3 linked regions of the Mus musculus genome follow. The protein of the gene in region 1 purifies or fractionates together with the protein of each later gene. This does not show direct contact. Links are inferred from orthologs where the notes say so. Each region holds a gene or a part of one and is shown on either strand. Other genes may lie near its edges.

What was found. The genes of interacting proteins can lie anywhere in the genome.
Region 2: the proteins of BC005624 (region 1) and Eftud2 purify together in Homo sapiens (affinity purification with mass spectrometry; 3 studies listed by BioGRID and IntAct, with this or other methods). This does not show direct contact. The link is inferred for Mus musculus from reciprocal best matches to the Homo sapiens genes C9orf78 and EFTUD2.
Region 3: the proteins of BC005624 (region 1) and Prpf8 purify together in Homo sapiens (affinity purification with mass spectrometry; 4 studies listed by BioGRID and IntAct, with this or other methods). This does not show direct contact. The link is inferred for Mus musculus from reciprocal best matches to the Homo sapiens genes C9orf78 and PRPF8.

What each region holds. Positions count from the first base shown.
Region 1 is NC_000068.7:30,979,036-30,983,335, forward strand, and holds the start of BC005624 (telomere length and silencing protein 1 homolog), read right to left. Parts: upstream 2,907-4,300; 5' UTR 2,826-2,906; coding exon 2,743-2,825; intron 2,508-2,742; coding exon 2,448-2,507; intron 1,016-2,447; coding exon 964-1,015; intron 1-963. UniProt on the Homo sapiens protein: Plays a role in pre-mRNA splicing by promoting usage of the upstream 3'-splice site at alternative NAGNAG splice sites; these are sites featuring alternative acceptor motifs separated by only a few nucleotides. May also modulate exon inclusion events.
Region 2 is NC_000077.6:102,842,887-102,846,574, reverse strand, and holds part of Eftud2 (116 kDa U5 small nuclear ribonucleoprotein component), read left to right. Parts: intron 1-338; coding exon 339-479; intron 480-2,333; coding exon 2,334-2,435; exon of another isoform or gene 2,436-2,938; coding exon of another isoform or gene 2,939-3,045; intron 3,046-3,142; coding exon 3,143-3,225; intron 3,226-3,688. Other genes in the region: Higd1b (HIG1 domain family member 1B), read right to left, coding at 2,939-3,045. UniProt on the Homo sapiens protein: Required for pre-mRNA splicing as component of the spliceosome, including pre-catalytic, catalytic and post-catalytic spliceosomal complexes. Component of the U5 snRNP and the U4/U6-U5 tri-snRNP complex, a building block of the spliceosome.
Region 3 is NC_000077.6:75,489,678-75,493,365, forward strand, and holds part of Prpf8 (pre-mRNA-processing-splicing factor 8), read left to right. Parts: intron 1-64; coding exon 65-229; intron 230-320; coding exon 321-539; intron 540-651; coding exon 652-864; intron 865-963; coding exon 964-1,089; intron 1,090-1,169; coding exon 1,170-1,275; intron 1,276-1,765; coding exon 1,766-1,956; intron 1,957-2,081; coding exon 2,082-2,201; intron 2,202-2,284; coding exon 2,285-2,474; intron 2,475-2,585; coding exon 2,586-2,705; intron 2,706-2,819; coding exon 2,820-2,954; intron 2,955-3,301; coding exon 3,302-3,431; intron 3,432-3,673; coding exon 3,674-3,688. UniProt on the Homo sapiens protein: Plays a role in pre-mRNA splicing as core component of precatalytic, catalytic and postcatalytic spliceosomal complexes, both of the predominant U2-type spliceosome and the minor U12-type spliceosome.

The DNA of each region.
Region 1 (4,300 bases):
GTGCTGGTGTGCATGAACATGTATGTGCACACACGTGCAGGCCAGATGTTAACGCTGTGTGTTCTCATCAATCTTTCACCATGCTGCTGCTGTTGTTGTTGTTTTAATTTCTCTGCATGTATATGTAATTGTGCATATTGTGTGGTTGTGGAGGCAAGCGGCCAAACTCAGGAATCTGTCCCAATCACTTTCCACCTTAAATTTCAGAGACAGGGAGGTTACTGATTTGGGTGGACTGGCTGGTCAGCCAGCTCTAGACATCTATATGACTCCACCGGACCCCCTGGTAGGAATACAGATGTAAGCTATCATATATGGCTATTATGTGGGTGCTAGGAGCCTGACTCAGAAACAATGTTAGCACTTTAGCCTCAGAGCCATTTCCTCAACCCTTTGACTTATACTGAGAGAGAGGGTCTCTCAGCTTGCTTATTCCGCTACATTATCCTCTCTGCCTCCCCAGTGCTCAGATTATAGACATGTGCCACCATGCCTAGGTTTTTATGGGATGCCATGGAATCCAAACATGGACTCTTGTGCTTACATAACAAACACTCTGAGCTATCTCCCTGGTACCATGGTTATAGTCACAGGGGCTGGAGAGATGGCTCAGTAGTTAAGAGCATATGCCTTTAATCCCAGCACTTGGGAGGCAGAGGCAGGCAGATTTCTGAGTTCGAGGCCTGCCTGGTCTACAGAGTGAGTTCCAGCACAGCCAGGGCTACACAGAGAAACCAAAAAAAAAAAAAAAAAAAAAAAAAGCACCAACTACTCTTCTGAAGGTCCTGAGTTCAAATCCCAGCAACCACATGGTGGCTCACAACCATCTGTAATGAGATCTGACGCCCTCTTCTGGAGGGTCTGAAGACAGCTACAGTGTACTTACATATAATAAATTTAAAAAATCTTAAAAAAAAAAAAAAAAAAGAGGAAGAACAGCCCCAGAGAGGAGCCAACACTCACCACCAGAGTAGTCTCCTCTTGAACCTTCTCTCCTACCAGCAGGGCAGCCGCACTGAGCAAAAGAAACCAAACCACAGAAAGAGAAACAACACAGAGACAAGGAGGAAATCAGTGTGCTGGCTAGGGTTTTGTTGATCTGACATAAGCTGGAATTGTCTGGGAAGAAGAAACTTCAATCGAGAACCTGCTCCTGTGGACAGTGCTCCTCCCCGTGGGCAAGTGGGCCTGTGTTGTACAACATAGCTGGATGTGAATGAGCCAGGAAGCAGTGTCCTCCAGTCTCTGCTTCAGGCCCTGCCATGATTCCCCCAATAACTGAGGATGATCAGGAAGGGTACAAGTTGTTTTGGTCCTGGTCACAGCAGTAGGAAGCAAACTGAGACAATTGGGATTACATAACTGAGAGAGTAGTGGGCAGTAGTTACAAAAGCCAAAGAAGAACCCAGTGCTCTGCTCGCTGTGAATGGTGAAATGGGGGGTCGGGTGAGAGGCAATGAAGCAGTTGGCGCACGCTCCTGCAAAGCCATTTGATATTCTGGAAATCACAGAGTAAGGTTCTGCCAGTCAAGGGATCTGTATCAGAAGACATATGCCAGAGGAAAATTTATCAAAATGACCCTAAAACCTGAAGCCAAGGCTTGACAGGGACTGAGTAAGCACACCAGCACTGAGCTATCCCCACCATTTCTTGTTTACTTTATGACCCAGGTCTCATAGTTGCTCAGTCAGGCCTTAAACCTGTGATCTTCCCACACAGCTGGGACTACAGTGCTATGGCACTAGGATGGGCCTTGTTGATGCTGAGACCAGTTTCACTCTGCAGGCCCGGCTGGCACCAAACTCATGGTAATCCCACTGTTTCAGTTTCTCAAGTCTGGGAGTCTAGGTGTGAGGCAGCACACAATCCCAGTCAATCTGGTAGCAAGTTATAGTGCACACCCCTGGCAATGCACACGACGCAGCCTTCTAAAAAGGTTTTCTGGAAAACACACACCATGGTCAGAGGCTCACAGTAATATGATGATTTAACTCTTTAAAAGCATGGGATAAACTAAAAAAGAAATAGGTGGGAAATAAATGGAAATATTATTATAAATGCTGTCTCTCTACCTCAAGTTTTTTTCTTTTTCTTTATTCTTCTTATGAAGCCTAGGTTGCCCTCAAACTCCCTGTGATAGGATTGCACCAAACCAGGCTATTGTTTATTTATTATACTTTTTAACCTAAGTTTCCCAAATTCTTATCTCTTAACACGTTGTCAATCACAATTCATCAGTCCAGCTAAAATTTACAGTTAGTGACTTGGAGCAGACCCATAGACCATCAGGTTCAGGGCATGTGACAAACATTTATAAAGAACCTTAGTTCCCTCTATGATCAGTAGAACTGTATGTCAAAGGAGGGATTTGTGACTGCGACCCTAGCTGGAAATTTTTGTTTTAGCTGGAAATCAATGACGCCGCGACCACCCCCGTGGTACCCACCTCACCCCATTTGGCCTCTTCCGCAAGTTCTGCACCTCTCGGGTTTCTTCCAGTTTTAGCCTGGGGGAAAAAAAGGAATAAAAAGTGACGCACAGGTTGAGACCTGCGGAACTCAAAAGCCAAACTCCGTTCTAAGGACATGTCCCTTTGCCGAGTCCCTGATCCAGTGGTCATCGGCAGTCAGACCCATGCGACCCCGGGGCACCTCTCCCAGCCGCGATGTGGCCTTATCCCTAGGAGCCTCTGCGTGGCGCTGGCCGGTATCCAGTCCCAAGCCTGTCTCAGCAACACGTACCGAACCTCCTCTGATTCTTGTTCATCCTCCTCCGACTCCGAGTCAGCCCGGCGCCGGCGGAATGTTTTCCCAGTAATCCGCATAGCGGAACCAGACCCTTGGCGCTGCGTTACCAGACGCGTAGTCCAGGGAACCTCTCTCTTCCGGCGCGCAGAAGTGTCGTCAGAGCGTCGGCTGCACTCAGACCCGCCTCCGCCTTGCCAGGCCACACCCCAAGCCCGTAGGGCCCCGCCTCAGCAGGGCAGGCAACCACTCCGAACTCCGAAAAGCAAGGGCAGGTATTGCCGCGTGGCCACACCCTCGACCACGCCCATCGAGTAACCATGCTCACCGCTCAACAGGACGGCCTTCGAACCACACGGTGAAACCCCAGCAGCACGGCCACTCCCCCGACTCCCGGCATGCTTGGGCACTCACCACTCGCACGGCCACGCCTCCGGCGTGCCCGGTACCGCCCTCTAGTAGGCTGTGACCTGTGACACCGCCCCCGCTCCTGGCATAGGCTCTCCCGATTGGACGTCTGACGGTGAGGAGGCGGGGCGTGGCAGGCAGAGCCACAAGACTCTAGGCAGCGCCGCGGTGGGCTAGCTTGACTGACAGGCGGCGCGGTTGCGACGGCAGGTGAGTTTCTGACGGCTGCTGCCTGCTGCCGGGGGCTGGGCCGCTAGAGCGGGGATCATCGTCCAGCCGCTGGGAGCAGGGGAGGCCTGGCTTTGCGGGGCGGCCAGGACCTGGTAAGAGGTCCCCGCCGCCTATCATCCCATCACCGACTCCCGTGCCCGCCCCGAACCCCCACGGCTCTGGCTTTTGAGCAGGCCGCACGTCGCTTGGAAGGCCAGCAGGAGGCCACTCGGGCTCCAGGGCTCGGACGTGCACATTTATTCCTCACTCACAAAAGCTGATCACCTTGCCGGGGGTGAATATCAGTCCCGGTGCTGACTGTCCATACCAGGTTGGCCTGCAGCCATTCGTCCCTAGGAGAGGTACCACTGACGTTCAGAGGCCAGGGACTGCTCTTTGAGAGCTTGGGAGGACTCGTTTGGCCTGGAGGACTGTCGCTCTGCCATAAGCACCTTACACCCCCGAGATGTTGCGACGGTAGTTAGTTTTTAAAGGTGTCTATAAACACTTATAAGATGGATAAGTGCATGCGTAATAGCTCACATGGGACTTTTAGGGACTCCTTAATTACTAGTTTCCTCTGGAGCACAGCGCTTCTTACTCGACACTTAACTGTGGCAGGCACTGGGGTAAGCAGTCTCTTCTAGAAGCCTTCCATCAAATCCCACGAAGTAGATGCAGTTGGGTCTCTCTTTCAAAAAACGAGGCTACCGAGGCGTAAGAGAAGTAACCCGTACTTCAAGTTCTGCAGCTGGGAGGTGAGGCTGGGTTGGGGACAGAGCTTTCACAGCTGCAGGGTGTGCTTCAGGGACAGCGGGCCTCTGTGGGTCTTCCCTGCTGCTGCTGCAGCTGGTGTGCCAGCTTATGGGCTGGGGGAGGGGCTGATGGACACTTTTTCCAGAAGACTATTCTGAAGCAGGGAGGGCATGTCTGCCAT
Region 2 (3,688 bases), on another chromosome or scaffold:
GAAGGGGCACACTGAGCTAGAGAGGCACAAGGAGCCACAGGCATGTGAGCAACCAAGCTTAGAAATTGGAAAGGTCCTGCTGCAGAGCCACTGCTGCCGCTTGGCTCAGCCCTAGTATTGCCCTCACCCCTTGAGCTCTCCTCAGATGCCAGGAGTTAGGAGGACTGCCTCTCGTTCTCGCCCAGTGCTCTGCCAAAATTCCTGAAGCAAATGGTCCTTTAAATTGGGCTCCTATGTACCATGGTTCTTGGTTGGGGAGTCAAGATTTCAGTTTTTCCCTTAGGCCTGCACCTTCTTGCCTTAGGCCCTCCCTCACTCCTCTGTTCTTTGGATCTCAGGCTCAGATTTTCCGGCCCTTGAAATTCAATACCACATCTGTTATCAAGATTGCCGTGGAGCCGGTTAACCCCTCAGAGCTGCCCAAAATGCTTGATGGCCTGCGCAAGGTCAACAAGAGCTATCCATCTCTCACCACCAAGGTATGGCCAAGGCTGCAGAGCTGCCAAGCCCCACGCTCCCCGGCTGACTGCTCTGTGCTGTCTGTCTGTCATTCCGGGCCATTCAAGAGGTGTTCGTCCTCTGTTGTTTTCTACCGCCTGCCTGTTATCGTTTGAGGGCAGGCAGACTGGAGTGTGCACTTTTGTTTCCTCAGACGACTTTACATAGCCATAGTCTTCAGTGGGCACACAGTTTGAATCGGTTCTCCAGAGAAATGAGAACCAGTCATGGTGGTAGGCACCTGTGATCCCTGCATCTGGGAGACTGAGTCGGGGATCCAGAGCTCAGGGTCAACAGCCTCAGCTCCATAGGGAGTCAGAGGCCATCATGGGCTGCGGGTGGGGCCGGAGAGATGGCTCGGCAGGTAAGAGCACTGGCTCTTCTTCCAAAAGACTCTAGTTTTATTCCCAGCAAGCAGGGGGCTGCTCATCGCCATCTATAACTACCAGGGGATTGGAACTGCTCTCTTGTGGCTCCACAGGTGCCAGGCATGCATGTAGTACACAGACATAATTGTAGGCAAAGCACCCGTACACATAAAATAGTAGAAAAGAAGACAAGCAGGGCTGGAGAGAGAGGGCTCATCGGTTAAGAGCACTGGCTGCTCTTCCAGAGGTCCTGAGTTCAATTCCCAGCAAGCACATGGTGGCTCACAGCCATCTGTAATGGAATCTGATTCCCTCTCCTGGTGTGTCTGAAGAGAGCAACACTGTACTCATAAATAAGATAAATCTTTAAAAAGAAAAAGGAAATAGTAGAATTCAAAAGAGGAATACATAAGAGTTCTGGTTAGAGAGACTTGGGCCTAGAGTTTGGCCTCTACTGTTCTTTGGATTAGTGGGAAAAAAGAAAAGCAAAAGTGGCTGGGCATTATATACTCTTGAGCCTGCCACCAAACTATTTCTGAGTAGCCAGAAGGGCAAGTTAAAGGGGTACCTTGTGTGTGGATTTAAGGATAGGGTTGGCCAAGGTAGGAATCCAGTCAGTGATGCTGTGCTAAATGGTCCTGTCGTCTCGGGGACCTACTACTGGTTAGGGCAGTATGGTCCTCTTACTGCCTTATACTGTTCTTATACTGGGGACAGACTACTATTGTGCAGTATTGGTTGGCCTAGCATTAGCTCTGTCAATCAAGTTGACCTCAAGCTCAGGGTGAATCTCCTGCCACCTGAATGCTGAATTACAAGCTGTCATAGGTAGGCTTTCTTTTGCTGTAATAAAATACCATGATCAAAAAGGAAGTTGGGGAGGAAAGGGTTTATTTAGCTTATACCTCCACATTGCTGTTCACCGCTGAAGGAAGTCAGGACAGTAACTCAAACAGTACAGGAACTTGGAGGCAGGAGCTGATGCAGAGGCCATGGAGTGGTGCTGCTTACTGACTAGATCCTCATGCTCAGCCTTCCTTACAGAAACCAGAGTTGGTACCACACAATGGGTGGGGCCCTCCCCCATTGATCATTAGTTGAGAAAATGCCTTACAACTGGACCTCATGAGGCATTTCCTTAACCGATACTCCTTTCTCTGTGATGACTCCAGCTGGTGTCACATTGGCACACAAGACCAGCCAGTGGACAGGCATACCACCACACTAAGCTTTTTGCAGGCTGCGGGGCGAGGTGTGGGGTGTAGATCGTACCGAAGATTGAACCCAGGTCTCGGTCACACAGAGGAAGTGTTTAAGCACTGAACCAGCCAGCCCTTACCCTCTACTGCCTGAGATAGTCACTGCTTCTGATAATGAGCTTTGCAACCTTCATCTCTGGTGCCTTGAGTTTTGTTTGGTGACCAGGACACAGCAGTGAGCGCTGACTGCTGGGCTGCTGTGTTTCAGGTGGAAGAGTCTGGCGAGCATGTGATCCTGGGCACTGGGGAGCTCTACCTGGACTGTGTGATGCACGACCTGCGGAAGATGTACTCAGAGATCGACATCAAGGTACCCCTTCCCTTAGCCTGGCTGTCAGCTCCAAAGGGATGTCCTGAGTGGGCAAACCCTTAGCCCCTTGGATGACCACTAGAGACCCTTCTGTAGAAAGTGCTTTCAGTTGTTCTTCATCGGGGAAGGTTCTAGAGACAGGTCACCCGACTCACTGAGTCATTTTCAGTGTCATTTAAAGTCAAGGCTCCCAAGGCACAGTTATTCTTGTCCCTACATTAGGAGAAAAACTATTCTGTCTCTGCTGATTGTCTCAGAGTAGATGGTGTCATGGAGAGTGGGAGCTGGCTCTCAGACTTACCACCAAGTCTTGACCTAGCACCATGCATGGTATGACATTGTCTGCACGGCCCTGCATTACAGGGCAGCTGTACTTCTGGAGCTGGAGCCTGAGAGTGGACAGATGCAGTTCTCTAGCACTGTTCCTGTCGTCCTCTGAGGGGTGGTCAGTGAGCGGCAGGTGGCGGGAGCTTTCTTGGAAGACCATAATTAAAGCCCTAGATTTAGAGCCTAGTTTGTGCCCCCACTTCCTCCTGATGCTGCTCCCGGACTCTTTGGTGGTGATGTGGACAGTTCTTTGGCCTGCTGCTGTAGAACTGCATAGGATGCTCTGCAGAGAGAGAACAGGGATGCATCAGAATTCCCTCAGTAGAACTTTGTCCTTCCAACAAAACTGACATTTATCTCAATTGTTTCTCATTGCCTAGGTGGCTGACCCAGTTGTGACATTCTGTGAGACAGTGGTAGAAACGTCCTCCCTCAAATGCTTTGCTGAGACACCCAATAAGAAGTAAGCAGGAGGTGGGGGCTCCAGAGAGCAGTAAGGAACAAATACAGTGATGTGTGCTGGGGAAATGCTAGGAAGAAATCCATTGCTTTGTATGCTTTTTCAGTTTTTCTGTAACAGTCTTGTACCGCAGCTCAGTCTGCCCTGGAACTCATTATGTCTGTCTCAAAAAGGGGGAGAGGGGTGCAGCGTGTATGGGAAGGAAGATACCCCACATCAGCCTGTACACACATGACTATAAACATGCTCGAGCACGCACTCAAACCTATTCACACACTCAAAGGAAGAAGCTGGGTGTGGTGGCACACACCTGTAATCAATCCCATTACCTGGGACATAGAGGCAGGAGGATCAGGAGTTCTAGGCCAGCCTCAGTCACATAGCAAGTTTGAGTGCCTATTAGATTCTTTACTTAAAAAAAAGTCAGACATGGTGGTACACACACCCTCAATCCCAGCACTTAAGA
Region 3 (3,688 bases), on another chromosome or scaffold:
TGTCAGCAGGGGACAGATAACAGAACCCTTAGTTCTTTCTCATGGTCTCTCCTCCTCGTTGCAGAGCTCTTAAGTACATGCCTCATGCAGTCCTCAAGCTCCTTGAGAACATGCCCATGCCTTGGGAGCAGATCCGGGACGTGCCTGTGCTGTACCACATCACTGGAGCCATCTCCTTTGTTAACGAGATTCCCTGGGTTATCGAGCCGGTTTACATCTCCCAGTGGGGGTGAGAAGGGCTGGAGTATGGTGGGAGGTGTTGGGCGCTGGGGTGGGGTGTTGCAGCTGAGATCAGTGGACATGATGCTCTTGCATTTTAGGTCAATGTGGATCATGATGCGTAGAGAAAAAAGAGACAGGAGGCATTTCAAGAGGATGCGTTTCCCCCCTTTCGATGACGAGGAACCGCCCCTGGATTATGCCGACAACATCTTAGATGTTGAGCCACTGGAAGCCATTCAGCTAGAGCTGGACCCAGAGGAGGATGCCCCTGTGTTGGACTGGTTCTATGACCACCAGCCTTTGAGAGACAGTAGGAAGTGAGTGGAACTAATTTCTGTGAGAGTTCTGCAAACAGGAGCTGTGGGGAGGCAGTAGGTAAGCGACTGGGCTCAAAACCTACTTGATGGGGGCCCTCCATCTTTTCCCTAGGTACGTTAATGGTTCCACCTACCAACGCTGGCAGTTCACATTGCCTATGATGTCCACACTCTACCGACTGGCCAATCAGCTTCTGACTGACCTTGTAGATGACAACTACTTCTATCTCTTTGATCTGAAGGCCTTTTTTACCTCTAAGGCACTCAACATGGCCATTCCTGGGGGACCCAAATTTGAGCCTCTTGTTCGAGACATCAACTTACAGTAAGTTGGGAGGCACCTTGTGTGTGTTAAAATTTAATATTTATCTTAAGATCCTGTCTAACAGTGGAACTAGACAACTCACTTGACTTTCTGTCCTAGGGATGAAGACTGGAATGAATTTAACGATATTAATAAGATCATCATCCGTCAGCCTATTCGTACTGAGTACAAGATTGCTTTTCCTTACCTGTATAACAACCTTCCACACCACGTCCACCTGACCTGGTAAGACGCTTGCAGCATGGCAGTTAGAACGGAGAAGGCCAGAGCACGAGAATGTTGGCTGACTCTTCTTTTTGTTATAGGTACCACACTCCCAACGTTGTGTTCATCAAGACTGAGGATCCTGATCTGCCAGCTTTCTACTTTGATCCTTTGATCAACCCAATCTCCCATAGACACTCAGTCAAGGCAAGAGGGAATCACATGCTTTGGAGGGCGGCTGGGAATGAGAGTCCTGAAGATTGAGCTTGGGGCCTTATGCATGCAAGTTTCCTGCCACTCAGCAGCCTATGCCTCACCTTTTTCTTTTTGGACATATAGTGTAGGTTAACCTAAATTGGCTGGGTGGTTTCGTGTTGGTCTTACTCATGCAGTCCCTTTGTCTTAGCCTCTGCCTACATACTGGGATTTCAGGCCTCCTTTCTTGAGCTCAGGAGTTTTGGTCAGGAACTGACTGCAGTACGTACTTCCTATGGTATGGTACTAGAGCTCCTTTGGGAAGCTTTTAGTGGTAAGCCGGTGGGTTGATTTCCTGCTTAGCTCTCTTCTCTACTCCCTTGGCTCCTTTATCTAGCTCTTTAGGCTGCTCATGTCTTGTCAGGCATGTGTAGCCGCTACTGCCCATCTCAGTCCTGCACTCAGTGAGCGGGAAATGAACCCGCGAGGATTTCTTTTTCAGAGCCAAGAACCACTGCCTGATGATGATGAAGAGTTTGAACTCCCAGAGTTTGTCGAGCCCTTCCTGAAGGATACACCTCTCTATACAGACAACACAGCCAATGGCATTGCCCTGCTCTGGGCACCACGGCCCTTCAACCTACGCTCTGGTCGTACCCGCCGGGCCTTGGACATACCCCTTGTCAAGAACTGGTGAGGTTTCTCCCTAAGGGGTAGTAGAGCAGCATGCGAGAAAAGACTGTCTGCATGGGCATGCGGCCTTCCCAGAGGGTCTGGAAGGAGAAGGGGACAAGGCTCTGATGGGCTTATTTAACCAGGTATCGGGAGCACTGTCCTGCTGGGCAGCCTGTGAAGGTTCGAGTCTCTTATCAGAAGCTGCTTAAGTACTATGTGCTGAATGCCCTCAAGCACCGGCCTCCCAAAGCCCAGAAGAAGAGGTACAGCGCTGGAGGCCCCTGCTACACCTTGTGTTCCAAAATGTCACTCTGCCACTTTAACGCTCATCTCTATTTTTACCCAGGTATCTGTTCCGTTCTTTCAAAGCTACCAAATTCTTTCAGTCCACCAAGCTGGACTGGGTGGAGGTAGGGCTGCAGGTTTGCCGCCAGGGCTACAACATGCTCAACCTTCTCATTCACCGGAAGAACCTCAACTATCTGCACTTGGACTACAACTTCAACCTGAAGCCTGTCAAGACGCTCACCACCAAGGTCCTGTCTGGGATCTTGCGGCTCTGCTGGGCTTAGGGGTGGATGGGACTGTGGCACACCTCCTTCTGTGGCCACTATCATTAATGTTCTTTGTGTTCTTGGCCTTTTCAGGAAAGAAAGAAATCCCGTTTTGGGAATGCTTTCCATCTATGTCGGGAAGTACTGCGTTTAACCAAGCTGGTTGTGGACAGCCATGTGCAGTATCGCTTGGGCAATGTAGATGCCTTCCAGGTGAGGCCATGCTGCCTGGACCCCTGCCTGGATGGAGAGACAGGGTAAAGCCTGTGCTGGCTTTGGAGCTGGCTCTGGCTCTAAGTCTAATGGGTGATTTTTTTTTTTTTGCAGCTGGCAGATGGTTTGCAGTATATATTTGCCCACGTGGGACAGTTGACAGGCATGTATCGATACAAATATAAGCTGATGCGGCAGATCCGCATGTGCAAGGACTTGAAACATCTCATCTATTACCGCTTCAACACGGTGAGACCCAGCCCTCACTGCCAGCCTTCACACACCCTTGCTTTTTCTTTGCAGTTAGAGCTTTTCCCCAGGACCTTCTTAGAGAGAATCTCTTGACTATGTCCTTACTATACTCAGTGAATCACAGCACTTCCCCTCAAACCTACCACTGAATCCTTGCAGGAGCCTCAGTTTCTGCCTTGAAATTCTTACATGCATCCCTATTCTAGACTGAGGACTCAAACAACATTTACCCTGTCTCACGGCAGCCTGATTCATGTTCATCCTTCTACTTCTGCCTGGTTTTCTTTCTATCATTTCTCTAAAGGAATTGTTCATTTATGTTCATGATTTCTGCTTGACTGTAGGGTCCTGTAGGGAAAGGCCCTGGCTGTGGTTTCTGGGCTGCTGGCTGGCGGGTCTGGCTGTTCTTTATGCGTGGAATTACCCCTCTGCTAGAGCGATGGCTGGGCAACCTTCTGGCCCGACAGTTTGAAGGTAAGTGGTTTCCTCACCCAGGCTTGTGTTCCTGATGTCCTGTGTCATCTGTCCCCGCTCTGTGTTAAGTGACTCTGACCTACTCCTGTTGTGGTTCTCAGGCTGCTCTCTAGGATTTTCAGCTATCATGTGTTTGTATGTTTGTGACTGTCTAAAGTGGCTTGTCTCTTTGCCATGTGTGGGTCGCATGGACACTTGTCACTATTTACTGATTTGATCTCTGGGCTGTCTTTCACTTCTAGGCCGTCACTCAAAGG